Linked DNA regions of Canis lupus familiaris. The protein of the gene in region 6 interacts with the protein of the main gene of each other region in a pairwise test. Links are inferred from orthologs where the notes say so. Each region holds a gene or a part of one and is shown on either strand. Other genes may lie near its edges.

What was found.
Region 1: the proteins of TFIP11 (region 6) and SAP30BP interact in binary tests that used the Homo sapiens proteins (3 or more experiments, as listed by UniProt). The two-hybrid records come from large-scale screens. The link is inferred for Canis lupus familiaris from reciprocal best matches to the Homo sapiens genes TFIP11 and SAP30BP.
Region 2: the proteins of TFIP11 (region 6) and LCA5L interact in binary tests that used the Homo sapiens proteins (3 or more experiments, as listed by UniProt). The two-hybrid records come from large-scale screens. The link is inferred for Canis lupus familiaris from reciprocal best matches to the Homo sapiens genes TFIP11 and LCA5L.
Region 3: the proteins of TFIP11 (region 6) and LMO4 interact in binary tests that used the Homo sapiens proteins (3 or more experiments, as listed by UniProt). The two-hybrid records come from large-scale screens. The link is inferred for Canis lupus familiaris from reciprocal best matches to the Homo sapiens genes TFIP11 and LMO4.
Region 4: the proteins of TFIP11 (region 6) and CARD9 interact in binary tests that used the Homo sapiens proteins (3 or more experiments, as listed by UniProt). The two-hybrid records come from large-scale screens. The link is inferred for Canis lupus familiaris from reciprocal best matches to the Homo sapiens genes TFIP11 and CARD9.
Region 5: the proteins of TFIP11 (region 6) and KIFC3 interact in binary tests that used the Homo sapiens proteins (3 or more experiments, as listed by UniProt). The link is inferred for Canis lupus familiaris from reciprocal best matches to the Homo sapiens genes TFIP11 and KIFC3.
Region 7: the proteins of TFIP11 (region 6) and PPP1R18 interact in binary tests that used the Homo sapiens proteins (3 or more experiments, as listed by UniProt). The link is inferred for Canis lupus familiaris from reciprocal best matches to the Homo sapiens genes TFIP11 and PPP1R18.

Annotation. Positions count from the first base shown.
Region 1 is NC_049230.1:5,751,140-5,755,264, forward strand, and holds part of SAP30BP (SAP30-binding protein), read right to left. Parts: intron 2,584-4,125; coding exon 2,492-2,583; intron 1,772-2,491; coding exon 1,711-1,771; intron 1,236-1,710; coding exon 1,184-1,235; intron 297-1,183; coding exon 238-296; intron 1-237. UniProt on the Homo sapiens protein: Plays a role in transcriptional repression by promoting histone deacetylase activity, leading to deacetylation of histone H3.
Region 2 is NC_049252.1:34,041,672-34,044,741, forward strand, and holds the end of LCA5L (lebercilin-like protein), read right to left. Parts: intron 2,329-3,070; coding exon 1,616-2,328; 3' UTR 721-1,615; downstream 1-720.
Region 3 is NC_049227.1:61,435,744-61,440,658, forward strand, and holds the start of LMO4 (LIM domain transcription factor LMO4), read right to left. Parts: upstream 2,969-4,915; 5' UTR 2,425-2,968; intron 349-2,424; exon of another isoform or gene 257-348; intron 1-256. UniProt on the Homo sapiens protein: Transcription cofactor. Plays a role in establishing motor neuron identity, in concert with MNX1, acting, at least in part, to disrupt LDB1-LHX3 complexes thereby negatively modulating interneuron genes in motor neurons.
Region 4 is NC_049230.1:49,116,377-49,120,501, reverse strand, and holds the end of CARD9 (caspase recruitment domain-containing protein 9), read right to left. Parts: intron 3,495-4,125; coding exon 3,303-3,494; intron 2,914-3,302; coding exon 2,872-2,913; intron 2,715-2,871; coding exon 2,669-2,714; intron 1,578-2,668; coding exon 1,501-1,577; intron 1,174-1,500; coding exon 1,097-1,173; intron 1,014-1,096; coding exon 914-1,013; 3' UTR 818-913; downstream 1-817. Other genes in the region: DNLZ (DNL-type zinc finger protein), read right to left, coding at 408-614. UniProt on the Homo sapiens protein: Adapter protein that plays a key role in innate immune response against fungi by forming signaling complexes downstream of C-type lectin receptors.
Region 5 is NC_049223.1:57,969,090-57,973,833, forward strand, and holds the start of KIFC3 (kinesin-like protein KIFC3), read left to right. Parts: upstream 1-1,830; 5' UTR 1,831-1,845; coding exon 1,846-2,011; intron 2,012-2,060; exon of another isoform or gene 2,061-2,118; intron 2,119-2,695; exon of another isoform or gene 2,696-2,814; intron 2,815-4,744. UniProt on the Homo sapiens protein: Minus-end microtubule-dependent motor protein. Involved in apically targeted transport. Required for zonula adherens maintenance.
Region 6 is NC_049247.1:20,585,447-20,588,700, forward strand, and holds part of TFIP11 (tuftelin-interacting protein 11), read right to left. Parts: intron 2,922-3,254; coding exon 2,394-2,921; intron 2,291-2,393; coding exon 2,184-2,290; intron 1,618-2,183; coding exon 1,449-1,617; intron 1,116-1,448; coding exon 872-1,115; intron 428-871; coding exon 285-427; intron 1-284. UniProt on the Homo sapiens protein: Involved in pre-mRNA splicing, specifically in spliceosome disassembly during late-stage splicing events. Intron turnover seems to proceed through reactions in two lariat-intron associated complexes termed Intron Large (IL) and Intron Small (IS).
Region 7 is NC_049233.1:619,100-622,654, forward strand, and holds the end of PPP1R18 (phostensin), read right to left. Parts: intron 2,515-3,555; coding exon 2,289-2,514; intron 1,654-2,288; coding exon of another isoform or gene 1,634-1,653; exon of another isoform or gene 1,592-1,633; coding exon 1,545-1,591; 3' UTR 775-1,544; downstream 1-774.

The DNA.
Region 1 (4,125 bases), on a different chromosome or scaffold from region 6:
CAGGAGGAAGACCCACTACTCTATCAGGCCAGGGAGGACACTGATGACCATGCCCAGAGCCAGCAGGGCTCCGCAGCTGTAGCAGGCAGCAGAGGGAGGGGGGAGTGCAGCAAACCACAAGACCCCAGGAAACCAAATGGAAGCAACTGAGAGGCACCTTCAAGCTGAAAGTGGGGGGGCGAGGAACGACACTCCACATACCTGCCCCTCCCCCTAGGACATCAGTCCATCACTTACTTTGGTTCGTTCCTTTTTGGCCTTTTCCAATTTGTCCATTTCAATCTTCTGGGCTTTAGCTAACAAAAACAGGAGAAGATGTTAACAAAAGCAGTCCCGGAACAGCTCCCACGTGAAAGGCCACCTGAAGCCGAGGGACCCCACACCAGCACTTGCTGCCTCCCCTGGGCTTTTGCTCAGTGTGTGCGCTAGCCTCTGGGCCACTGGGCTCACTGTCCTTTTGTGATGGACAAACGGAAGTGCCCGCCCCTGGCCAGCAGAGAGCACAGGCCTCACACAGAAAGGCCCAGGCGCTGGGGCCTTGTCTTGGAGGGGCCAGTTGCTCCCGAGCACTGGCTGTCACCATGTGGGGATGCAGGCCCTGTGTGGATGACCTGCCCAGTGACCAAGAGAAGCCGAGATTACAGATTTGAGGTAAAACGTTGGCAACTGATTCAAGTTAGAGCAAGATAAAATGTGTGTGGGCCAAACAAAACACACCTACAGGCCAGATCTGGTCTGTGGGCTGCTGGGTTAAGGTCTGCCATCGGAGAGCTTGGACTCCTTGAAATTCCTCCCAGTTCTCCCTACGAGGACCTCTGAGGAAATGCTTTCTCGCTGGCTTCAGAATATGCAGTCCCCTTGCCTGGGACACTCTTTGCATCTGCCTGGCTGGCCTCTGGGCACCTTCGAACCTCAGCTCAAACGTGACTTTCTCAGCAAGACTGTCCCCCTCCTTCCGCAGGTTAGCTGGCCCAGCCTGCACCCCCCACCACAACACCCCTCATTACTAGGACTATTCCTTCTCTGCCTTCTGTGCCAGGTCATAAGCCTCCTAAGTCGCAGTGGGTCTATCTCATTCAAGACCGTATACCCACTCCCTTGGAAATGCCCTGACACAGAGGAGACCCTGATATACCTGTTGGCTGACAGCAGACAGGAGGAGAGACAGATAAGGGCCACCTACCTAAGGCCTCATAGTAGGAGTCCTCAGACCAACCGTGGGGGTCAAACATATCCTGGAAAAGTAAGAGTTAATGTTGTAGCCAGCCAGGGTCGTTGAATGACAAATGGCTTAGAAACCCACATCCCTTCTCCCCAAGTCTTCCCATGGATTTTCCTGGCCTGGAGGCTCTTGCCTTAAGGGCATGAGGGCTCAGCTGTTATCCCTGGTCTCTAGCGAAGGGGGTGGCCGATTTGCTCTTGGGAGTCACAGAGGAAGTGATACCTCTCTGTGGGCTGTGCTTTAGGAGCACAGTGATGCACACTCATGTCCTAACCAATCAGGGGCCTGGGGCCAGGTCTGTCGCTGCGATCTCTCTCCTGGACTATTTCAGAGCATTAGGGACTCAAATGAGAGAGCTGGGGGCTGTGCTCTTCAGCCAGTGCTACTGTTACATGGGCCTTTCAGTGGCTCCAGGCTGAATCCAGCAGAATGAACACAGGGCCCTGGGCATCCTCCCTCAGCCCTCAGCCTCTGCATGCAGGACATACCTTTGGATAGTTGGTGCCCAGCTCATCAATTGCACAGAACTGGATCAGCTTCTCGTAGATGCTGAAAGAACAATACCAGAAGGCACTGTGCAGGCTCTAGTACCATGCCTTGTGTGGCAGCAGACTGAGAGAGATCAGAACCGTCTAGTTCTTAGGCTCAGAAGAACCATTTAAACCCAGCTAAACTGTTGCAAGTAAGCTTCCTAATAAAAGGAGAAATGTCCACAGGCATTAAGTCATTCCAAGTCCTTGCCACTTCCAGCAAGATGGATCGTTAGCCAGGAGCCAGGACTGGTATGGTGTTTTTTGGTCTTATCCAGACATCTGACATATGACCCACATCTGGCTGCGTGGCTGGGTCGGGGCCCTGATGCCACCAGACCAAACTGTTTACAGGTGTGGCACTTGCTCAGACCCTGGAGGGAGTAAGACCCAGACACAGCACTGTTCCTAAAACTTGTCACCTGCACGCAGAATCAGTGACAGTTTGGCGGGGAAAGAGGAACCCTCAGGGACTGCCTAGTCCAATTCCCTCACTCTAGAGATGAGATGGAGGCCTTGGGAGGGGCAGAGTGAGGAGGAGACCCCAGCCAGGCCTCTTCCATCCTAGCTCTGGCCTCACGGCCTCCACTCTTCATCCCGGTTTCTGTGTCACTGTAGTTGGGGTGATGGCCCCTTTGGGCACAGGTTACATTGTAGCTGCCACCTCCATGGGGGGTATTCTAGTCCCTAGTCCAATACTGGTGACTCAACTGACCCTGCAGACTCATGGGAAACTCACCTGGGGTTCCGAAATTCTTTCTTTCTTTGAATAATATAGTTCATATCCATTCCTTCCTTTATCTTCCGTTCATAAAGCTTCTGGATCTTGTCCTGCGGAAGAGAAACAGAAGGGCACCTATGACACCACCCTACTCACTGGCAATCCCAGTCTGTGGGCACATATGCTGGGTGGATGCCTGGGCACAGAAGACCCACAGAGCCACGTGAAGCCCTACTCCAGCCATGCTGTCTTTCTCCACCCAGCCTCTGACCAGCGCCAAGCACAAATAAGATAAATGGAGACCAATTTGTTTTTTGTTTTGCTTTCTCCTGACTCCCTCTGGATGGCTGGCAGCGGGGGCAGTAAAACGTCAAGGCAGAGAAACCATGGGGAAGACCATGGATGAAACTCCCCCTCAATTGGCTCCTGAATCATCCAAAGAGGATTTAGGCAAAGCTTTGAGGGGGAATGGAAGGGCTCAATACTGGTTTAAGTTTAACATGGGGTTAGGTCCTCAGTGGGAGACCTGGGAAGGGTAGGTCTTTTCAGAGAAAGGAAGGAGTAGAATTTTTTGGATTTGGCCTCACAAACTTCCTACAGGGTCCTTTGTAGGGAGGCTCATAGATGGCCAATCCCCATGACTTTATTAAGAGGCACTGTGGGGGGTCAAGAGCCCATCTCATTAAACCTCCCCCCACCCCAACCGCAGATCCCTGCTCTGGCTTTTTTTTCTTTTAAAGACTTCAGGCTCCATGCCAGGAGCCAGATGCAGGACTTGATACTGGGACTTGATTGCGCCCTGGGTCAAAGGCAGGCGCCAAACTGCTGAGCCACCCAGGGATCCCCTGGTTTGGCTTTTGATGGGCAAGAGGAGAATCACCTGGCAGGAGCCCGGCCAGTCCCACAGGTTTCTCAAGGCCCACAGAGATGAAATGGGCAGAAGATGGCATCCATACCACCCAGCACAGAAAGAGGCTGCAGAAACCTGAGTCTTGGGGCAGAGCCGCTTCTGAGGAGGAGCAGTCTTACCCAGCAAGGCTGGGGCTGGCCCAGGGCAAGGTTCTCTCTGCAGCCTCCCCCACTAGTGGCGGCTAAATGCACAAACTCTCCAGAAGGAAAACACTTGGGTCACTCTTCACCTGCAAGAGGAGGTGGGCAGGGCTGGAAATCCTGTGTAACGCCCTTTGAGGAACATCAGGAGAGGTGATCCACTCCCTTTGTCAGAAGGCCGAATCTTTCTGCAGAGACTGGCCAGAGGAAGCACTGAAGTGCAGAGAGAGGTCTATAATACATTTGCCAGGGGAGAGGCGACCAAGAGTGGCAACCTTCAACGTTCTCTCTTCAAGGGCAAAGCAAGGAAGCCTCACACAGAAGGCTTGGTGAAACGAGGCCGACCTGTATCTTACAGATTACTTTGCTGGGTTCCCTGGGCCATCAGATGGGTTTTCCCATTTCAGGTCAACTAAAGTGTTCACTTAATGTCATGGTTTCTACCATTAGGAGGATCTAAAAATGAGAAGGACACTGAACTGAAAGGCTGAGAAAGCTGGGTATCTCTGGCAGATTGCTGGACTCCTTACAGGCTGTGGCTTGTTGCCTGGCAGGGAGGTGAGGTGCTACACTGCCGGGTGGACAGCTCTGCCAAGGGAGGA
Region 2 (3,070 bases), on a different chromosome or scaffold from region 6:
AGTTAATTTAAATTAAATGATTTTATGTATGTCTTTTATGTTCTTTGTCACATATGCTGAGTTTTTATTCTCCTTATTTTTGTCAGAAACTTATTTATGGGGAACCTGGGTAGCTCAGTGGCTGAGCATCTGTCTTCAGCTCAGGGAGTGACCCCAGGGTCCTGGGATTGAGTCCCACGTGGGCTCCCCGCAGGGAGCCTGCTTCTCCCTCTGCCTGTGTCTCTGCCTCTCTCTGTCTCTCATGAATAAATAAGTAAATAAATAATCTTTAAAAAAAAAAAAAGCAAGTAGACCTTGTAACACTGGAATATTATTCCATATAGCATTTCTAATTCTTATAGTAAATTTCTCTAGAATTTACGGCTCGGCATTCATATCATTTGATGTGCATTTGCCTGTCTCCCCTTAGAAGCCTATGGGACATCCTACTCCCCTCCCTCCCTCCCCTTCTCCCCTTTTCTGTTCTCCTCAGTGGTTTTCATAAAGATCAAAGCTTATGGCAATGTTTACCTCCTCTTTGGTTTTGAATACAACTGTTTTCCTACCATGGCTTTCACTGTCTTTAGTAAGTTTTATTTCACTCTTAGTTTTTTATTTTTTTTTTTATTTTTTTTTTTTATTTTTTTTTTTAATTTTTTTTATTTATTTATGATAGGCACACAGTGAGAGAGAGAGAGAGGCAGAGACACAGGCAGAGGGAGAAGCAGGCTCCATGCACCGGGAGCCCGACGTGGGATTTCGATCCCGGATCTCCAGGATCGCGCCCTGGGCCAAAGGCAGGCGCTAAACCGCTGCGCCACCCAGGGATCCCAACTCTTAGTTTTTTAAAGTGATAATATTGCACACCAGTCCATAAAGCTCTTTGGAAATAATGTGGTCCATATTATCAATAAGTTGCCCTTAAAAGTAGATGAAGGTAAGTAAACCGATTAACGTGGGGCCTACAGCCCATCTCGTCCTAATATGTAATGAAGCTCTCAGGATGGAGCCGCTCGCTTGAGGGGACACTATTCCATATGCTCTTTTATAGCAAGATTAACAGAAAAAAGGACATGGGACAGGTATGTAACAAAGAGAAATAAAAAGTGGATCTCGGGTGTACACGAGGAGAGTGTCATCACAAGGTGGTTTAGCTGAATCGAACACTCAAAAATAATTTTGATAAAACCACACTGTGGGTTTTTTTTTTTTTAATAGTCTTCTGATCATATTGTTCCCTTTCAAAGCTGCTTCCGTGTTTTTTGGTTAAAACACAATTTGATTGCTGTGAACATTCCTCCGTATACGAGATGTGTGCATCTTGGCTGACTGACTTGGACTTACGAACCGTGCGTGGGGTCCCACAGGATATTAAAGCCATGGAAGAAAGGAGTCTTCCCAAAGATCATGGACATGTTTTCATTGTAGGAAAAAAAAAAAGATAGAATTTTGTATTTGAAATGTCATCATTGGCTATAACACAACGGATTTTTGGAATTAGGTTATAATAAAACCTTAATTATCCAAAGTCCATTGAAATACTGAAACACACACACACACCCCCTAGCGTGATCAGATTTAAAGGCCCGCAAGAACGAGAATACCCAATCAGAATGTAGTAGGATGCTGACTGTATTTAAATAATGATCTTTCTTTTTCCTTCCGGAGGTGAAGATGACTTAATAGAATTTACCACAGTTACTTTAGAATCTCTGAAAGCGTTGCTGGCGGAGGCCTGGCCGGGGGGTAGATGGTGCATCTTACTTTCCGGCGTCTCCTCGAGCTGTGGAGGGGCAGCCGTGCAGGCCTGGTCGTGTTTGAAGACGTAGCCCGACCCAAAGAGTTCCTCCATTAGACTTCTTTTCTTATCCCTGAACGTGTCTTTGGCCTTTGTTCGGGAAGACTTGCCAAAGGAGGGCTCGTACCCGCTCACCGCGTGCTCTGGCCCAGGGCCCGCGCTCCCGTGCGGCTTGCCCGCGCTGAGACTGCCTCGCGGCCCGCCTGTGCCCGCCGGCCCGCCCAAGGCCGGGAGCCCGAGATGCAGGTTCTCGGTGGCTTCCGTGAAGGAGTAGTGCTTTCTCGGTCGCAAGGGCGCTTTGATACTGGCCGCAGCAGTTTTATCAGGCGTCTCATCCGTGTCATTTATCTGGAGGCTGCCTGTGAACTTCCCTTGGGCTGCGTCTTCCCGCTTGCCCTCCTTCTCGGGAGGACTTACTTCAGTCCTTGGTGGTGGCAGTTCCCATTCTTTCACCAAAGCGGGTCTCTTCTCTTGATCTTTCTTCTCTCTTGGTCTTCCAGTATTCTCCAGAGGTGGTTCTACTTCCAAACGTTCCTCTTCCTTCGATAAATCTGTATGCGGAAAATAGTCTATTTAGTGATCTTTAACATGAGCGGGCTCCTATATCAAGCGGGCCTGTTGAGCGCACTTACTGGCATCCGACAGGCACAGGGACGTGACAGAAAGACGTCCAGCAGATGCACACGACACTAAAATACAGGGAAGGGCGCTGTGAACCAGCTTGAGGACGGTCTGCTTCCCCAGAACATACCAAGTCGGTAAGGATTACGAAACCAAATCTAAAATGATACTCGTGAAAGAACTAACCTGTGCTGAGTAGTGAGGACGTTCGTCACTCCTGGGGGCCGGAGTGCCACGTAAAGCAATGAGAACCGTTTTCACCCATCCAAGCAGCAAATAATTTCCAGATTCAGTGAGAATATGGGGACAGTGGAATTTCTGTTCCCCATTGGGTGTGTCCATTGGTACAGCTGTTCTTGGATGGTAATTTGACTATCAAAAATTTTTTAACTTTTAAAAAACATTTTTTTTTAAAATGGTGGGGCTCGATCCCAGGACCCCAGGATCATGACCTGAGCCAAAGGCAGATGCTTCATCGGTGGAGTCACCCTGGCTCCCCTAACTGTTTTCTGGAGATTGTGCAGGTGTGACTGCATGAGGGGGGGTTGCGGGGGTGGGGGGCAGAGGGAGAGCGAGGACCCCAGGCAGAGTCCCTGCTGAGCGAGGAGCTCAACGTGGGGCTTGATCTCTCAACCCTGAGATCACGACCTGAGCCAAAACCAAGAGTCAGAT
Region 3 (4,915 bases), on a different chromosome or scaffold from region 6:
CCGAGGGGAGCGGGGAGGCGGCCCCCGCCCGAGCCACGTTCCCTCCCGAGCTCTGCCCTGGGAAGTGCAGCTGCAGTTCACAAGTTGGAAGGAGTTCGGTTTTCTGGAAGGGAGGGAGGGAGGGAGGGAGGGACCGGCGGAGGGGAGAGGGAGAGGGAGAGGGAGAGCGAGGTGGTGGGAGGGGAGGCAGGGGACGCGAGGGAGGGGGTGCGGTGTGTAAAGTTGCGAAACTGGTTTTTCGTATTTTAAACAGCACCTTTCACATGCCATTGTGGTGACCGCCATCTCCCATTATTGTTCCAAATCTCATTTCATTTTGAAGATCAATGAGTGTTTTCTCTGGGTTTTCAGGACACAGGCAAGAATAATAGATCATTGAACTTTAGGATGCCTGTTAACTTCCTATACAAACACTCTCCACTTTGGTCTCACTAATCTGCCCTTGATCAGCAATTTAAATGCTAAAGCTTTGTTCCTCCAAAGGGGGGGGAGTGTGTGTGTGTGGGGGGGGGGGGGGGGCGACGTTACAGATAATATGCGAGAAGGCACTATTAAGGGATGCACAAGTTATATTCGAGCCAGTCCTGCTGTCACCAAAAACTGCTTTTAAAAAAATTCCCCACTCTTTCTAATGAATGTCACGAGAAGCAACTGGGGTATAATATAGGAATCAATTTATAAAGCTTAGCCTAAACCGATTAATTTGTTGCCTCCAATCCTGAGTCCAATAAAGTCCTAGTGTTCCTCCAGTCACTTATTCTATAAAAAGATCAAGTTATTTACTGCCAATTAAGCAGCCTGTTTTGTCTTTGTCCTCTGTAAGCCGAGAGTGGAGGCTCCCCCCGAGGCTCCCGGCTATCTGCTCAAGACATTCAGCTGATACCTCAGAAGGGAGAGGGCGAACTTTGCCTGTCCCCGGCCCAACTTGGCTGCTGCAAAAAAAAAAAAAAAAAAAAAAAAAAAAAACAACCAGGGGAAGGGAACGAAACAAGGACTCGGGTTCCTTAAATAGGCCGATTTTAAACACATTTCCTCCGAAAGAGTCCCGGAACGTGTGTCCAGTGACCGCACAATAAACCAGAATAAGAACTGCACCAATTAAGCTGTAACAAAACCCTGAGACTTTGGAAACAGGACCACTCTAAAACCCATTAGCATTGCATTTATCCGAATGCATCATACCTTTATGTAAATTGATTTATCTGATGCATTTACTCGAGGAATTGCTTTTTGTTACAATTTCAGCCCTAACCCAAATGAATCTGCATTTCCTGCCCGAGGTCTTTAAACTGTTTCCCCCAACGTTTTAATCGCTCCGAATTCCTTTTTAAAAGGGGAGAGGGAGGGAGGAGATTCCAAGCTCTTCCCCGCCCCCATCTTTGGTGAGAGGTAAATATATATGTATATTTTTTTCGAAAAGGAAACATTACACTGAGAAAAGCATCCAGTAACCCCATTAGCTAAAGCTCTTAAGGACAAGCAATACCTTAATGCTGATTAAATCTAAAAGAGATGAATCAAGAGGACTGACCAGAAACTGACTCCCCTGATAACTAAGGACGGGCCCTCATCAAGTTTCATTTAGAGTTGGAAAAAAAAAAAAAAAAAAAAAAGAAAGCTTTTAAGTTAAATAGGCTTATACTCTAGTAATTACATAGCCAAGCAATTTAGGTCCTGGGATAGTCAGTGAAATAGAAAGCAGAACTGGCAGCTAGAGGCAAAATCTGCCCCCCTTTAACAACGTCTCTGGTGTTTTTTAATGGAGACCAGGGGAGGGACAAACGTAGCGCTGGCAATTTGTAGTACAAAAATGGATGCTTAATTCATGTCTTGATTTTAATTAGGTGATTCACCGGATTTCTCCTGGATTGGAACAAAAGACTTATAAGCCAAGAGGAATTTTTGAAAAGAACCAGCAATACTGAATCCTGCTCACTTAGATCCTTTCTGCCACTGTTTCAAAAATAGTGTTTACTGGGGGGCTGGGGGGGGGGGTCGTGACTATTTCCCCCACACTACTTCTCATACTTAAACCCTCATTTAAGCACCTCCGGCCTTTCCCTTAGGAACTGAAAATACCCCCCCACTACCACACACACACACACACACACACACACACACACGCACACACGCACACACACCCCTCCCCACCCTCCCAGGTCCCCAGCAGCCCCGTCTCCAAGAAGAACCCTTTTGTAAGCAGGAACCGCTACAAAGCTGGCGGCCCGGGGCCGGCTGCCCTCCGTGCTAGCTCGCAGGCCGGCCTCGGTAGTTTCAGACTCGCGCATTATCCAAGCCGACGTATTGTTTACTTGCAATTTGGGACGGTCAAGGGAAGGAAGCCAAAGAAAACAGCCCTGGCCCACATCGGCCCCCTCCTCCCTCTGCCCCCCCTCGCCCGCGGCTCCCCAGCCGTCCCCTTACCTGCTTTTCCCCTATATTGCAATACTGCGAGAGGCGGCGGCGGCGAAAAGCGAGCGAAGCCGCTCGGCTTCCAAGGAAGGGGCGCCTTGGCTGGCGGAGCTGGAGGGAGGGGGGATGTTCTCGCAGAAGCAGGAAAGGGGAGGAGGGGGCTAAGGGCTGCTTTTTTTTTTTTTTTTTTTTTTTTTTTTTAAACGCGTCGCCCTGAGGCTGGGTCGGGGGGCCCCGCCGTAAGCGGCAGGCGGCCGGGAGCTGGAGTGTCAGGCTGAGTCCTCCGCGTCGTCCTCCGCCTCCGCCTCCGGCTCCGGCTCCGCGCGAGCAGCTGCAGGAGCCCGCGGCCCGCGCGGCGCGGCTTCAGGCGCGGCGCAGCGGCAGCAACTGCTGCAATCGCTGCTGCAAGTTTGGCAATGTGGCTTCACTTTGTATATGCCCCCGCCCCCGCCCGCGCGCCTCCCGCTCCTCCTCCTCCTCCTCCTCCTCCGCCTTCCTCCCTCCCGCGCGCCCGCCCGCCCGCTCGCTCGCCCGCTCGCTCGCTCGGGGCCGGCGGCGGGCGCTCGGCCGCGCTTCCTGCCCCTCCAGCCGGGGAGCGGCCGCGGGCACCAGAGCCCCGGAGCGGCGGCGGCCGGCGCGGAGGCCGGGAGCCGGGGAGCTGCGGCCGGCCGGGCCCGGCGCGCTGGAGCCTGCGCCGCTGCCCGGGCTGCTGCTGCTGCGGCGGCCGCCCGGCTCGGAGGAGGCGGCGGCGGCGGCGGCGCTGGCCTCTAGCCGGCTCGCTCGCTCCCTGCGCGGCGCTTACACATGTGTTACTGACAGAGCCGAATCCCAACTACTCCCCGGCTCTGCCGCCGACGTCAGCGACCCTCAGCCACTGGGCGGCCGGGTTGTTCAGGCGGAATAATAAAACCTGCCAATCCGGGGCAGGACAAAGGGAGGACTGGAACGAGACTCCGCGGGCGGGGGAGCGGGGGAGGCGGCGGGCGGAGACGGCCCGGCCGGGGGCAGGTGGGCGGCCGAGCCCCGGGGACCCTCGCGGGACCCCCGGCGGGACCCCAACCCCCTCCCGCGGGGGGCAGGATGGAGCGGCCGGGGGCGCCGCTCCTGCCCGCGCCGGCGATCGCGGGGACCCGCACCCGCGCGCCCCTCGGGGACCCCCCCCCCGCGCGCCCGCGCGAGCCCCGCAGGAAACTTCTCGTCTTGCTCAAAAATGGGTCCCCTCCTGTTGGGGAGGAAGAGTCTCCCCGAAACCTCCGGGCGGGGGGCTTCGCTCGCACGCAGAAGAGGTTTTGTTTTTCTGCCTTTAATTCGCGGGCGTTGGAGACGGATGAGCCCTTAGTGGGAAGTTGAGCGAGCGAGGAGGTGGGGACCGAGTCCGCAGGTCTTGCAGGACTTGGCCGCCCGGCCCCGGTCCCCCGCGTGGGCCCGAGCGCCGGCCGAGAGCCCCGTGGGCGTCTCGTAGGGGATCGTCCGAAGTCGGAGCTGAAGAGCTCACAGCCCGGACTTTGGGGGTCCAGGGGAACTTCAGGGAGGAGGGCTCGGCCTCCATCCACCCCTGCTGTGCAGGAGGAGAGGCCCGATTCCTCAAGCCCCCCGTCCCCCCCCCCCTCCCCCCCCAGACAGCAACAAGGAATGGCAACATTCACCATCCCACAGCCTCTGGGGAGGAAGAAAGGTCACGTCTAGTATAAATTTAACTGTTGAGGAATGCTTTTAGGGTGCTGCTAGCCTGAGAGTCTTTTTCCAGGGCCCCGAGCTCAGCCTAGATGCTTGAGTACCTAGTCATTCAACTTTATCTGCTCTGCCAAATAGGTTTAATAAATCTCTGATCTGAGGCTAATATTAGGTCTGATTATTATTAGTAAGTTCCAGAGAGATTTTTCTGGTGGAAATTATCATGAAAGTGCAAAGCCCTTCTGCTAAGTATCATTAAGTTAAAACCAGCCTTGTGGGACGAGTTTTCATATTGTATTACATACAGTACTGCTGGATTGAGGTAAGGGACCTGCAGAAGAGTCTGGCTTAGACAATGTAGTTGTTAAACATCTATGGTTTTAGTGTCTGTTGGGGGGATTTCTGTCCTTCAAACCATCAAAATTAAGGCTGCAAAAGAAACAGTCATCATTGCCTGGAACATCAAGCAGAGGACATTTTAAACACCAATTAGAATAGTCATTTCTTTATATTCCTTGCACCTCAAAATTAAACGGCTTACTTTCATTGATTGGTGTTTAAAATTGCATTTTTATGATCAAGTCGCTTTGTGCACCTTATGAGAAACATTTACCGCCCCCCCCCCCCCCAAAATGACTTAAAGTATAATAGTAATTAAAATGCCCAGTACGGAAAACAGCTGCAGATGGGTATGATGAAAAGAAGGCCACCTTAAAAAGATGTAATGTTCCTTGAAGGTTAGTAAAGAAAACTCAATTAAACCAAATGAGGGAAGGAACCCCGTAAACAAATAATGCACACATTTTAATTCCCTGGTTCAGTTTCAATT
Region 4 (4,125 bases), on a different chromosome or scaffold from region 6:
CTCTCCAGGAAAGGCCCCGCCCCCAGCCATAGCCCCACCCCTCTCCAGGAAAGGCCCCGCCCCCAGACATAGCCCCACCCCCTCTCGGAAAAGGCCCCGCCCCCCAGCCATAGCACCACCCCTCTCCAGGAAAGGCCCCGCCCCCAGCCATAGCCCCACCCCTCTCCAGGAAAGGCCCCGCCCCCAGACATAGCCCCACCCCCTCTCGGAAAAGGCCCCGCCCCCCAGCCATAGCCCCACCCTCTCCCGGAAAGGCCCCGCCCCCAGCCATAGCCCCACTCCTCTCCCGGAAAAGCCCCGCCCCCGGGCAGCCCCACCCCTCCATACTGTCAGCGCACGCGGCACCGCTGCCCGCCGCGCCGGCCAACCCGAATGCGGAACCAGCTTCGCACCCGTTGCGCGCTCACCTTACAAGTGTAGACAAGCTGGTAATGTGCGGCCCCGGGCGCCGGCTCCGAGCTGAAGCACCGCCAGCCCCAGAGCCCCGCCCCGGCCCGCCTTCTCCCCGCGGCCTCCGGGCCGCCCCTGCGTCCCCACAGCCACCTCAGGGCGGGTTCCCGGGGGCGCACGCGGCTCAGTAGCGGCGGCACGCGGCTCAGCGCAGCCCGCAGCATCCCGCCCTCCGACCTCGGCCGCGCCGCCCCGCCCCGCGCCGCCGAAGCCGCCCCGCCGCCATCTTGGAAGCGGGCACGGAACGTAATCGGCCCTTTCCGGCTGCGGTCCGCCGACTGGCCGGCTGTGTTCTGCTGCCCCCTGGAGGCGGGAGGTGCGCGCGCGGCCGGGGGTGCACATGGGAGCGAAGTCAGCGGAGGCGGCGGTGGCGGGACCGCGGTGGTTTATTATGCATTTCTGACACTGCTGCCCGCGTCCGCCCCGCGCACACCGAGCACGCCCGCCGGCGCGCCAGGGCCGGCTAGGAGCCCTCGGTGTCCGTGTTGTCGCTGCCCGTGGTGTTCTCCCAGTCCACCTCGCCCTGCCTCGAGCAGTGCTGCATCTTCCGGAGGGCGCGCTTCCTGCAGGGGCGAGCGCGTGTCCGCGGGGCCGCCCACCCCGGACAGCCCGCCCCCTGCCCCGCCCGCCCGGCCCGGGGCCGCACCTGCGGTAGTTCTCGAAGCTCTCCTTGAGGCGTCTCCGCTCCTTCTCTGGGGGCTCCCCGCCGCTCAGGCCTGCGCCCTGGGGGAGGAGCGAGGCTCAGGCTCCGGGGGGCGGAGGGCGGACCCGGACCCACAGCCGGCTCCTAGGGTGCCCTGAGCGCAGCGCCCCCGCACGGAGGACTGGCCTTCCGCCGCTGCCCCGCCCTGGCCCCACTCTGCAGGCAGCTCCGTGCAACAAGGGGCACTAGGCTCCTTGTTCCAAACAATGCCCCCCAGGAGCCAATGGCAGAGACCCTTGCCTTCATCCCCAGGCATCCAGGCTGCACAGACCCCCTTCCTGGGCTCAGTCACCCCGAGGCCTGTGTCAGGGGTGCCTAGGGCAGTGGGGACCCCAGGGAAGCCTTACGTTGGTGGTCAGTGGAAGCTGCTCCTCCTGCAGGGCCACAAACGATTGCTGTGGGCTGTCCTTGTTGGCCAGGCCTCCTAGAATGGAGAGTTGGGCCTGTGAGTCCTCCCCAGCTGCAGGGACCACACTTAGCATGGCCAACCCTGGCCACCGCCCCTCCCCTGAAGCTGGGGCCAGTCCTGCAACATCCCCTGGGTCCTTACTTGAACCCTAAAAGGGGACTGGGGTCAGGGACTCCCCCTAGGCAGCCAGAGGCTGCCAGAAGCCCACCAGGCACTGCCCCACCATCCAACTCAGCTCCTGGGTGGGGGCTGGGGCCCTGCAGCAGTTGGCAGCAGAACGTTCCAAGCTGCCAGCTCCCTAGAATTTGCCAGAGCCTGGACAGGCCCAGGGCTCAGGGCCCTCAGACAGAAGGTGCTCTGATGGGTTGGCTCCCCTAAGCTGGCCAAGAGAGGGGCTGGACATCCAGTCTCCACTGACATCATAGGGGGCTAGCACCTTCCCTTCCTCAGCCTCCGACCCTGAAGCCTGCCCCAATTCCTTCAAGGGGCCATGCCACCCCTGGGTTGGGGCTCCCAGGGCCTTCCCCTACCACTCATTGCCTGAGGGGTCCTGCCTGCTTGTCCCCACGTTGGGGCTCTGTAGCCTGAAGCTCAGCCCCCTGCCTCTGCACTGGCTGTTCCTCTTTTGCTTCCTTTGGAGGCTGGCAGCAGGCCTGACACAGAGGAGGACTGTCTGGCTTTCCATGCCACCTTCAGAATGAGCCCTTCGATCCCTTGTCACCCCTCAGCACCCCCCAGGCCATGTTCCTGCCACCTCTGTGCCTGGCCCTGAGACAGCCCTGCTTTCCCCTCGTTGTACCTCCGACACTGTTGGACTTCCCCTGCCCCCTGCCCAAGAGGAAGCTCAGGGAGAGCAGGATGCCTCAGCCCTGTATTCCTGAGCCCAGGGTGGGCTCTCAGCATCAGAGCTGGGGCACAGGCCCCACACACCTAGCTTGTTTGTTCATTGGGGAGCCTGAGGGCTCCTTGTCTCTCTCCAAGCCTCAATGTCCCCATCTGTAAAGTGGGGTTGTGAGAGATCCATGGGACAGGGCTATGCCCAGTCCAAGTACAGGAACAAGGAGGCCTCGGCTATCTCGTCCCTGAAAAGCTGCTCTGCTCCTCACCTTTGTCCGAGAGCTGGACGGCTTCCAGGTCCAGGGGGAGCGAGAGCTTCCGGGAGAGAAACGGGCATCAACGACCTGGCAGGAAGTCCTTGCTCCAAGGACCAGGAGGCGGGCCAGCTGGGGCCCAGCTCCCAAAGGGGACTGGGGGGACAGTGGTCTGGCAGAGACTGTGGCCTGGAGCCCACCCTGGGGGGCGTACTCACCTCCTGAGAGTTCCTGGGTGAGCTGTCATCCAGGTCAGAGCTCTGTGGTCACAGAGAGGAGTCAGTCAGCAAACAGGAAACCCAGCCACCCCCAGGGTCGGCATAAGGTGGGGCACAGCGAGGGGTCCCAGGCCAGAACACCCCTCCCTCCTCCTCATGACACCCAAAGTGGCCTGCCAGGCCCTGAGATGTGCCACACCCCCAGGCTCCCCAGAAGGAGAGGGGGGCCTGGGAAAGGCTTGGGACCTGCCCAGGCCCCCCCGTGGAGCAATCTCCAAGCCAGGCCTGGCCCTGGGCTGACCAGCGTCCCTGCCTCTGGGCTCTGGTGTCTCGGGGACACGCTGGCATCTGAGGGCCTATCCTGTGTTCTACTGTGGCTGCATCTCTGACCAGCGGGCGCTACAAAGGCCCACAGCCCTTGGGAGGCCCACCAGCACGAGCATGTCCAGCTGCTGCCGCTTGAGCCTGCCCTCCAGAGCTAGCAGCTGGCCCTCGCGCTGGAACAGTTGCAGCTGCAGCTCGTCTGCCTTCTCTGCCAGCTCCCGGACCTGCTTCCGCAACGTGTCCTTCTCCTGCAGGCTCCGCGAGTGCTGTGCATGCAGCTCCTCCCGTGTGGCAATGGCCTGTGTGGACAGGATGGCTCAGGGTGGGCTGGGTGGTTGCTGGAGACCCCCAGGACCACCCCCGCCTCTCAGCACAACAGTTGAGAGCTTCCTGCAGGGAGTCTGCTTCTCCCTCTGCCTGTGTAGTGCTTGAGGGTTTGTGTAGTAATAACAGCTTCCAATGGGAGGTGGAGATGAAACCTCCAGCTCTGATCTCCGAGCCCTCCACCCCACCGCACATCCAGCCCGTGCTTCTACCCTCCACGGCACTTAGCGGTGGGATCAGGAATATGGCTGTTGGCAGCTGTGTTACATCCTTCATCACGGCTGTCCCTCTGGGGGACACGGCACACTGACCAGAGCACACCTGACGCAGCTCTGACCCATAGCCGGAGTCAGCCAGCTGCCTACGTGCCCAGGCCTGGAGCAGGGTGGCAGCTGCAAGCAGCCGGCCCCTGCCTGGAGGCCAACCCAGCCCTAGAGCCCTCGGCCCTCAATGGCCAGAACTTGAGGAATCACTGAGAATTGCCTTCCTTTCCTGTTGCCCACCAGGGACACCCGAAGAGAAGCCTACCCGTTCACCTGGGCTGCTGGGCCCCAGCATCCCTGGCTGGCAGCCTGCCTTTGGTGGCACAGCACCCTCCCTTCTTCT
Region 5 (4,744 bases), on a different chromosome or scaffold from region 6:
CTACACACCACATCCTCTCAATTCAGCCTCCCCTCCTTATCCTGGCCAAACTTCCCCACAGAGAAGGAAGCATTGGCTTCCTTTCACCCTACCCACCTCTTGGGCCTACTCAGCTCTCTCCTCTGCCCGGCTCCATTAATGTGCTCGCTCCCTTTCAGAGCCTCCAGGACTTTCTTCTAGTTTGACCTCTCCACGGCATTGTTCACTGGGAACTGACCATCCTCTCCTTCCTACTTGCCATCCAGTCAGAGGTGCAGAGGACTCTGCACCTGCCTAGTGTTGTTGCCACCTATGACTGTCCTCCCAACGTTCCTTACCACCCAGAGTGAGCTCTATCCTTGGTTACTTTTGGTGATTATATCCTTGTCTGTGGCATTGGGACCCTCCCCGCTCTGAGTCTCCAGACCTGTTCTTTTCCAAGCTTCAGTTCTTTTCCAAGCGTTCAGGGAACGCTTATTTCAGGGCATTCACCTATCAAGGCATTGCCAGGGGTTTGGTGTGGGTGTTGTTCCAGCTCCAGGCTGGTTGGTATAGGGCTGCACAGATGAATGTGCACGCACACGCACCTGCCATGGAGAGCCATAGAGAGTCGGGGGGATTGGACACTGTTCGAATAGGTAATCTCTACTGTCTGGTGGAAAGCAATCTGCAACCCAGGTAGCACCATTAGGAAGTTCTTGGGTGCCTCAAAGTCCATTTTAAAGCCAAAAGCAAATTCCACATTGCCTCTCTGAGCTGACTTGGCTGCTTCTGTTAATAGCATCACTGTCTGAGTCTGGGACTGTAGCTTGGTACTTAAATGCCCTCACAGCTGCTTTACACATGATAGGTGTTCAATAAAGATGTGTGTAAGGAATACTTAAAGTCTGTTCTCTTCATCTGCTCAGTTCATGAGAAACCTACGCAGCTTGCTTTCTTTCTTTCTTTTTTTAAATATTTGTTTCATTATTTTAGAGAGCACAAGCAAGAGGGGCAGAGGGAGAGGGAAAGAGAATCTCAAGCAGGCTCTGTGCTGAGCATAGGGCCCCATGCGGGGTTTGGTCTCATGACCCTGAGATCATGACACAACCAAGAGTCAGAGGCTTAACCCACCACACGAGGCAGGGGTGTTCTATCCAGGCCGGTGCTCCCCACCCCCAACTTCATTCTCCCATACCACCTGGTGCCTCCCTGCATCCTGTTCTGATTGTGAAGGTTTGTTGAAGTGCTTACCTCCCTCCTGACAGGGAGCTTTGAGGCCCTATCTCTCCTGATCAAAGAGGACCCCTGGCAGGTGCCTGGCACAAAATAGACACTGGATAAATAATTATTAAATGAAGAAGCAATGAATCTTTGTATCTTACTGCCTGCCAAGTTGTAGGCACAGAGTGAAGGCTAGTTGAATAGAATGAGTGGACTTTAAGAGAATTTGATCTATATAAGCCACTGTGTCACTGGCCACAGTCAGGCCCCGTCTGATTAGAGTTGCTGTCGACCTGTGCGTCCTGTGTGTGGGGCTGTGACCTGGCGCATCTTCAGGCTGCCAGGCTTCCAGCCGAGGGGCTGAGATGGGAGGTCTCCGCAGGGTGCAGCTGACACACCGGGTGGTCTCTTCACCCACTTCTGAGCTTCCCTACTTGGGAAAAAGCCCCCTGAAATGGTGAGGGGCTGTGTTGGATCGCGCAAGGCCAAGGATCGCTGCGGGGGGGGGCGGGGGGCTGCCGCTGCGGGTATAGTGACCCTGTTGCAGGCGGCGGGCTCCCTCCGAGCTGCCACCCAGGTGTCGTCGGTCGCCGGCTCAGCCTCGCCTCCCCGTTCTGTCCGCAGGCCGCCCGGCGCCCCGAGGAGGCCGCTGAGCCCCGGGCCATGGTCCCGTCTCGCCGGCCGTGGAACCTGGGAGCCACGCCCTCGCTGCGCGGCCTGTGGAGAGTGGGCCGGGCCCGCGCGCCCGAGCCGGGGATGGCTCGCCCCGCCCCCGCCGGCCCGGCCGCCCGCCCTTTCCCATACACCGGCCCGGGGAGGTTGAGAACTGGTGAGTCCGCATTTTTAAAATGCCTCTTTATTTCCCTTCCTTCCTCCAGATAGCAGCGATGGGGCCGGGCTCTCTCGCAAGTTCCTAGGCTCGGTCAGGGCTGTCAGGTAATTACAGGGTGCCGGCAGCCCGCGGGCCGGCCGAGTGGGAGTCGGGGCGCCAATCTCGCCGGCGCTCCTGCCCGGCGCTCCTGCCCGGCGTCCTGCCCGGCGTCCTGCCCGGCGTCCTGCCCGGTGCTCCTGCCCCGCGACCTGCCCCGCGTCCTGCCCGGTGCTCCTGCCCCGCGACCTGCCCCGCGCTCCTGCCCCGCGTCCTGCCCGGTGCTCCTGCCCCGCGCTCCTGCCCCGCGCTCCTGCCCGGCGTCCTGCCCCGCGCTCCTGCCCGGCGTCCTGCCCCGCGACCTGCCCGGCGTCCTGCCCCGCGACCTGCCCGGCGTCCTGCCCCGCGCTCCTGCCCCGCGCTTCTGCCCCGAGTCCTGCCCCGCGACCTGCCCGGCGTCCCGCCCCGCGCTCCTGCCCGGCGTCCTGCCCCGCGCTCTTGCCCCGCGCTCCTGCCCCGCGCTCCTGCCCGGCGTCCTGCCCCGCGCTCTTGCCCCGCGCTCCTGCCCCGCGCTCCTGCCTGGCGTCCTGCCCCGCGCTCTTGCCCCGCGCTCCTGCCCCGCGCTCCTGCTGGTGGAGAGACGTCCCGGGCGCCGAGTTAGACCCCGGCGCGGCCGCCGAGCGGGGGGCGGGCGGGGGCGCGTCCTTGGTCCCCCGCCCAGCTCGCAGTCTCGCTCCGGTTTGTGCCCGCAGCTGGTAAACAAGGTAGGTGAAGTGGCTGCCCCGGTGCCCCGTGCGGCGCGGACACCTGATCGCGGCGGGTCAGACCGCTGGGGGCGCGAGGAGGAGCCGCGGCGCCGGCAGAGTGTGGGTGCCCTGAGCCGGGTTTCAGGTGCTATGTGGGGCGGCTCCCGCAGGGTGGCCCACAGCAGGTGGGGGCAGTGAAGGAGCCCACCTGGGATGCTGTCAACACCAGCTCTCCTTTCTGGGTCGCGTCCCCTGGTGCCTCACAGGCCAATAAGTGAGCGGCACCTCTGATTTGCCTGTGGGCTGGGTTGTCGTTGGGTCTGGGCAGTTGCCCCACGACTGCCTCCTGAGGTGAGCTTGGGCAAATCTATCTGGAAGTGTGGAGGGAGAGAGGGTCTTCAGTCCAGATGTCATCAGACGCTTGCTGTCTGTTGTTCCTGACCTAGAGAAAGAGGTTTAGATTACCAGCCTGTCTGAGCTAGCAGAGTTCCTCTGGCTATCAGATCCAAGCCCCCCTGGTACACAGAAGGGGAAACTGAGGCCTAGAAAGGGTACACAGCAGACTCCTGTTCCGTCTCCTCTCCCACCACATTTGTGCCACTGGTGGGCACCAGAGTGATACCCTCCAAAGTGTCTCTGCAGGGGACAGTGAGGCTGGGGATGGCACTGGGGGCCTCTGGGAAAAGCATAGGCTTTTGGGTCAGGTAGCCTGAGTCATCTGGAGGGGGATGAAGACGGTCTCTACTCCACATGGTTGTCCTAAGGATTACATATGTAATATGAATGAGTATTACTTTTCTGGTTAAACAAAAAAAACAAGACAAAGAAAAAAAAAACAAGCAGAAGACAAAATATGTTCCCTTGGAAAACTAGAAAAAATAAAAAAATAAAACCCAGAAAAGTATAAAAAAGAAAATAAAAATCACCTATAAGCTTGTTAGTGAACATCTTATGTAGTTCCTTCCGATCTTGTATATGTGGGCATGCATATTGGTCTATTAAATGAGTATCATGAAGATTATATGACCATACAGGCTTATCTGCTTTTAAAATTTAAGACAAAGGTCAAATGAAATCGTGTGAAATGCTAAGCAGAGTGCCTAACAGTGAGTAGGGCTTCAGCCAGCTTGTCACTCCTAGCCCCTCAGCCCCCACCCCGACTCTTGCCTCTGTCTTGGGAGGTATAGGCAGAGGGTGAGTTAGCCCATGGGATTGCAGGACTGGCTCAGTGTGACCCTGGGCACGGTTTTAACCCTCCCCGGTCGTGGTCCTAATGGCCTGCACTTATGGCCAGTTTCTGTGTGCCTGGTGGAGAGTGAGCATTTTAGGTGTGTCATTCCATGTAACCCTCAGCACAGTACTATGAGCTTGGTTCCTTATCCCCATGTTATTGATAAAGGAAACTGAGGAACAGGCAGGGCAGTAAGCACTTGGCCGGCTGCTGGCACTCAGGATACTGTCACACCCCCATGAGGCTGTACTCATTCCCATCCCATGCTACCCTGCAGGCTGTGGTGGGGGTTGAAGTGGGTGCATGGGATGTCCATACCATGATCACCTCTCTCCCCTGTCCAGTGAGGGAGGCAGTGGGTCAGAGGCTCGAGGGGATGCACTTTAGCTGGTGCTGAATATGCTTTTGGAGGCTGCTGGGACCAGGCCACCCAGCATGGCGTTGGTCTTTATGAAGTCAGGGGAGAAATTGCCACCTAGAGGCGGCCTTGGTAATAAAGCCACAGCCCTGGGGTGCTCCTCCTGTGAAGTTTAGTGCAGCCAGGTTGGCATCGGCTTCCCTTTGCTACTCTCTGGAGAGGGAGTTCATGAGCAAGTGTCAGCCCAAAAGCCACTGTGGAGGGTGGGGAACACATGTACCCCAGAAGCTTCCGGTGCCTTCCCAAAGGGAAGCTCGGGGTGGCTTTTGGGAAGAAGGGAGCACAGCTCCTGCCTGGTG
Region 6 (3,254 bases):
TGTAAACTCCCTGAACCTCTCAAGGCTATGCCAGCCCCTACCCACAAAGATTTGGTGTCAGAAGCGGAGGGAACGCACATCAAGTGCTTAGCATCTGGCATGTGGCATCTATTCAATAAATGGTGGTTGCTGTGACTACTGCTTATTTTTGTTCTGTGTGATAGCACTGTCACCTGATAGCTGTCCAAGGATCAAGCTCCTACAGGCAGACCTTGGCAGAAAAGCAAGCGAATCCTCCCTGCCTCCATCCCACCAACCCCCTCCAAAAACACAGCAGGGTATACCTGAAGCCACTTGGGGAAGAAGTGTTTCTCAAGCAGCCCCACAAGGCTGGACACGGAGATCATTCCTTCCCAGTCGATGACCCAGTAAAAAGCATCCATGTGCTGCTGGTGGGGATTAATGACTAACTCCCCAAGACACATCCCTGCAAAAGAAGCCTGGTTTCTAAAGCAAAGGCACAGAAGCACATAGCAAAATCCTCATCAGATGACGCAGGACTAAACCTTATATCTGTTAATTTTAAACTCTTGACATGGCAATTCTTAAAAACCACTTTCTATAATCCAGAAATAACTAATACATATTTAAAAACAAATAGCACAGAAATTTCAGAACATTAATGCCTAGCATGTTACCAGAAACCCAAACCAGACCAGGAACCAAGAAGCTGGCGGAGTCTGAGGCTGTTGATGCCATAGGGACCCTGGGTATGTTTATATTCCACCTCTAAGCAATATGGCACTTCTTGGATTGAGAAATATCCTGTGTTCAGATTTTTCATGGAGCCCCAGGGCCATGTTTTAAGAAACATGGATCCTCACCGATGGCCACAGAAACCAGGGCAATACCCTCTTCTCTATTCCCTTACCTAGTTTGGGCACTATGTTCTTGACCATGAATGCTTCCCAGGAGCCAGGGGTGAAGACATCTTTCCAAGGCTGGAGGATGAGCTTGGCAGAGGAGTCGCTGGGGTGCCACTTCTGCAGGGCACTGGAAAGCTTGCTGCGGATGGGGGAATAGAGTGGTTCCAGGCGTGCTTGCATAAGGGGCAGCCACGGGTGGACCCAGGAGTGGATGGGCACGGTGTCTGTCAGTGGGTTCCAGTTTTCCACCTGCAGGAGGCGTGGGACAAACCAGTTCCAGATGCACTGTGCAGTCGACAGCATGGATGCCTAGCACTCTCCTGGCCAAGGCCCACGGGCCTCTGCACAACCAAACTAGTATCCCCACAGCAGCTGCATGGAATCTCCGAAACGAAGAAACCAAGAAAATAACTTCCCCATTTAAGTAGGGAAACTGGGGGAAATGCCAACAAAAGGGCTGGAATTACCCACAGGACGGTAACCATGTCAGCCGATTCTCATTCCACGCCTTCTGACAGCACTGGGGGAGCAGAGAAATGCCCGTTACTGCTGCCAGCTGTTCCCATGACCTGGGGGCCCTACCTCTTTCTGCAGTTTAGGGAAGATGAGCTGGTCCAGAATGTTATCTAAGATCCACACAGGAATAATGTGCACCCAACTATCCAAAAAGTCCACCATCGGGTCACAGTTCCTTGGCTGCCACTGGGTGACGATATTTCGAACAAAAGGCATCCAGACTTCCCATATCAGCCTGTGGGAGAAAGGCAGAGGGCAGGCTAACTGCACAGACAGGTTTCAAAGCAGACAGTACACTGCCACCCACTCTCCAGAACGAGAAAGAAAAAGGCACGGAAATGCAAGCACAGCAAACCACCAGGCCAGTCCCCAGTGCCCAGAGCTGCACCTAACTCGTCCCTGCTTGCCCAGCCACCTGCTTGACCTCAGGGCGTGGGTCTCACTGCCTGGCAGGGTTGCTGTGGGCTCCCGTCCCCAGGGATGCCTTGCTTTCCTTTGGGAGCTCTCTGCACAGCTTGACAGCTCACCTCGTGGGTCACCTCCTTTCATAGACCTCTGCTTCATACTACTCCCACCACCCAAACAGGTGTGCATCCCCTCTCTCCTCCATCCCTGGCCTCGTCCGTCCGCTTCCTTACCCTCCACCTGCCTCTTCCACTCTCTGAAGCCCGACACTGTCAGCCTTACTCCCAGGGCAAGCCTGGCATGTGCACAACACTGGCCGACACATGACAGGCGCAGGGTGGGAAGGCCAGTCCCTGCCTTCCCCGGCATCTCTCTCCTGAGCCCCAGGCTGAGTACCTGTGAAAGGCGTCTGCCGAGAGGTCCTGCCCGCCGTGGGATAAGAGCTGGTCGTTCTCTAGGAGGGTCTTCCACCTGGAGATGACCTGGGTGCCGTAAGCGCAGTCCTGGGGAGAGACCTGGCCGTGATGCGGCACCGTGGGCCAGCACCCACCACCCTGTCACACCTGCAGGGCAGGAGCACAGCGGCTCCTCTCACTAGCCACTCACCTTCAGCGGGTCCCACTCCTTGAAGTACTCCTTCATGAGTGGGTAGACAATGGCCACAGCCAGGTCCACGCGGTCAGACATCCTGTACTCCTCGTAGTACTTGTCTTGCAGGGTCTCAAAGATGCGGGCACACTCATCCAGGGTGAGGGGGTTGCTGCAGGAGGGCTGCAGGCGCCGCTCACATTCCTCCACCATCTCCAGGACCTTGCTAAGGTTGGCAATGACCCGCTCCTCATGCTCCAGGACCTCTGACATCTTCTCCAGCTCGTGCGACAGGTTGACCACCATGTCCCGTTCATACTGCAGCTGCCGGTCACTCTGGATGATCTCCTGCTCTGTGAGGTCAATGAGCAGCTGCAGGTTGTGCTCCAGCTCAGGCAGGGCGAAGCCCGGCGCCTTGGCCTCTTTGCCAGGCTGCGGTGGCTGCTGGGACGGCAGTGGCAGCCCATCATCAGGGACATTGTGCTTGTGGCTGATCTGGCTGTAGCTGTAGTAGACCTTCTGCTCCCGGCCAGTCATGTCGATGACCTGGGAGAAAGTGGCGGGGGAGCCCGAGTCAGTGTGTGCCATCGCTGCCCCGTGACAGCACGCCTTGGACCGAAGGAGGACAGAGTGCCGGCGCACACAAGTGACGCTGTGTCAGAGCCAGGGGGTGGGGGGTTACTGCAGGGGGGCCCCACTGCACTGACAGGAGGGTGGACAGTCAGCAGTTCCAGACTGCTCCCTGGAGATAGAGATGGACAAAGCTTTCTAGGAAAACCCGTGAAACTGGAGTACAGACTACTAAACTGAGGAGAAAATCATTCTGTGGCAGAGTAGAGGCTGCACTGGTGGAAGCCAGTAATAAAGCAGTGTATGTCT
Region 7 (3,555 bases), on a different chromosome or scaffold from region 6:
CCTGAGCCAAAAGCTGACACTTAACTAAGCCACCCAGACACTCCAGGAAACATACACTATATTTTGCAGCAATTTTAGATTTATTATTTATGGTGCCAAGTCTTGGAGTAAAAGCCCCTAGATTAGCCAGTGTTACACACTAGCTAGCTGCTTCTAAATACTGGAGTTCTTCAACTCAGAATGTCCTGTTTCCAATATTTTAGCTCTTTTCATCTATTCATGTTTGTTCAGTCATTCTAGTAATAATTTTGCAAGTGTGCTAGGGATAATTTTGTGAGGTATGGGGATGCTTCATTAAACCCAACTACAGTCTGCCCTTGTGGCACTTCCAGTTTATTTTTTTAAAGATTTTATTTATTCATGAGAGACACAGAGAGAGGCAGAGACACAAGTAGAGGGAGAAGCAGGCTCCATGCAGGGAGCCTGATGTGGGATTCAATTCCAGGACCCCGGGATCACACGACCTGAGCCGAAGGCAGACCCTCAACCGCTGAGCCACCCAGGCTTCCCAATGGCACTTCCAGTTTAGTGGATTCTTTCTGTCCTTCCTTAAACTGGTCCTTTTCCTGCCACTCCTTCAAGCAACAGCTACAGGGCTCTCCCAGAGCCCTTTCTTCATGTCAATGCTGAGTTCCTGTTTCATCTCCATCACCCCACCGCCGCAGCTGTGGCCACTACCTCTTCATGGCCAATAGGAAGATGGGAGCGGCTTGGAATGAGGAACACAGAGCCTCCCCCACCCCATACCTTTTTCTAAAGAAGGAAAAGCAGCAGGAGAGTTGGAGAGATCTCCGTTTTATTATGGAAAACTTAAAAAACAAACAGGCAGTTGATAAGGAAGGAGAAATGGGGGAGAAGGGTTGAGGGGCCTTGTTAGTCACCCCACACCCACTTGCAATTCAATTAAATTGTGAACCACTGGAAGGAACAGAATTAAATAATGAGGTGGGGGTACAGGGTTAAAATCCCCAGCTCTCCTTCTTGAGGACAACTGAGGTACAGTAATACTGAGCAAAAGTGGAGGAAGCCACACCCCCAAAGAGACAAAGGGCGGGCGGGGGGGTTCCATATGGACTCAACAGTTAGGTGTGCTTGTAAACCTGGGACTTCGGCAGGTGGGGCTGGGAGCTAATGGGATTTGTAAACCAGGCTGGTGGTCAGGGGAGGAGGCAGGAGGTATAAGCAAGGGGGCAATGCCCTAAGGAATACGAAGGAGAGGGGCCTGTAAATGGAATGGGGCAGGCTGTCCAGGATGAGTGCTTAAATCCTCAGAGCCCCCACGGGGTGGTGGGGAGTCAAGGAAGGCTGAAGGGAGAGTGTGGAGATGGAGGAGGTGCTACACCCCAGCCCCAGTGAGCCCTGTGATCCTCCCCAGGACGTGATGCTCATTCTTAATTCACCTAGGATGCCACCAGCATGTCTGACACACTCACACCAGGGATCTTTGGTGAGGGTGGAAATTGGGTGACTAGCTCTGCTCCCATAAACAGGATGAGGAAAGAAGGTTGGAAGATGTTGGTTGCCCCTCACTGCCAAGCTCATTTTCAGGGTCTCTCTGTTCTCAATCTTCTGGGCTCCAGGATCTTCAATTCTGGAAAAGGGGGGTATAGACAGACCCTCTGTTGAAGGAGGGTCACCTCCGGCAGGACTCATCTGTGGGAGAGGAGGCAGTAATGGTTACAGAGTGAGTGAGGGCCTCTGCCATCCACCGTCCCCACTTACTCTCTACACTGAGCAAGTCAGTGTTTTCCATGCCCAGCACCTGCTCCTACAGTACCAGCAGTCATTGTTCACCTAGCTCGCATCCTGTGCCAGGCATTCTTACAACCTGTTTAATCACATAGTAGCACCAGAGGAGATTAAGTAATTTGATGGCCAGCCATAGTTACAGGGTGCCTCGTAAACATTACTGAACCTTCTCAGTAAACCCCAGGCGGTGGTTATTATTAACCCCATGTCATAATTAATAAACTGAGGCCAGAGGTCAGGTGATTTCCTGGAGGTTACACCCCATGTAAGAAACAAGACGGAAATCAAATGCAGGCCTGTCTGACCCAAACCCGGTGTTTTTAAGCACACGAGAGTGCTCAGAAGGGGTCCTGGTTCTGAAATCTGGAGACCCCTTGTGCATGCACTTCCACTTCCCCATCTGTGAAGGAGAGCGGTGCGCCCGGAGGTCCTGCTGGAGGTCCTGCCTGCCCAGACTCACGCCGCCCCTTCCCTCCCAGGGCGCAGTGTCCGCCCTGGACGCCAGGGGGCGCCCTCGGACCGGCGGAGCCTCCGCTCACCCACGATCAGGGCCTTGGTGCGCAGGCCGCCCCGGAGCTCCCGCTGCAGCAGCAGCAGCTCCTCGTCGTCGTCGTCGTCGTCGTCGTCGTCGTCGTCAGGCTGGGCCGCCGGGGGGCTGGGGGCACCGGGAGCCTCAGGATCCGGGCCCAAGTCCTCCAGCACCGAGCTCTCCGAGGGGTACTGGTACGTGGTCTCCAGTGCTGTCTCGCTGAAGGAGATCTTGAGCTAGGGTGGGAGAGAAGGGGGAGGCCGAAGTTCAGCCCGGGAGGCGCCCGCCCAGGGGAACGCGTGCAAGGCGGAGGGAAGCCGGAGCGGAGCATCCACCCGGGGCCGCGGGGCCGGTTTTCCTTCTGATACAGGCCCTCCAATTCCAGATTTTCCCTCTTCTATCATAGCATTTCCAAAACATCAGACTCCGCACTGCCTGGGCAGAGGGGAGCAATACAGGACTCGGGTTCCTACTCTTTAGACTGTGGGTGGTGGGAGGGTAAAAAGAAATGAAAAAATATACTCCTGTAATCAGAGCTGAATCCTTAGGCACCGTTGAGGGCAATCAGGAAGGCTTCCCGGAGAGGAGGGAAGTTTGACCTGGCAGGAAATAGCTGACTGGACACAGTCCCAGGCAGAAGCAAAGACAAGCACATTGGTTTCCGCACCGTAGGCCCCCTGGGGTGCCTGGGAAACCCAGCAGCCTGGATACTGTGCCCTCCTGCTCCCCTCACTCTTCTCCTAGAGCCCGAGTGGACTCACAACAAACTGGGGCTAGGGCCTGGGAGGGGAGAAGAGACCTACCGAGAGGCCCAGAGGAAACAAGACTCTACCCTGACACACAGGAGAGAAGGGCCCTTGAGTCCCTGCAAGGCCCAGCTTGGGGAGGTGGCAGGGCAGAGAGGAAAGTCCATGCAAACACAGGTTGGGGTGGAGAATGCATGCACAGACAGGCGAAGAGCCAGAGGGGACCTGAGAGGACAGAAAATCCTTCACAAACACGCTGTCCCCAGAGCAGGCCAGCTCCAGCTGTCCTCACTGCCTTTCTACCCTTCCCCTTTGCCCTTCTAAGAAGCTCAGGGAGGCAGGGGCAGAGTGGGATTAACTCTGGGAGCCAAAGCGATTAAGACAACAAACAGGAGGATTCCATGTGAACTACTTGGAAAGGTCCAGATCATCTACTCGGGCCTTCCCAAGTGCCTGTTGGGGGAGCCAGGGCTTGGGCCCTGCATCCTTGAGAAGACAGAAGCTGGGAGGGTGGCTGGACAGGTGGATGCT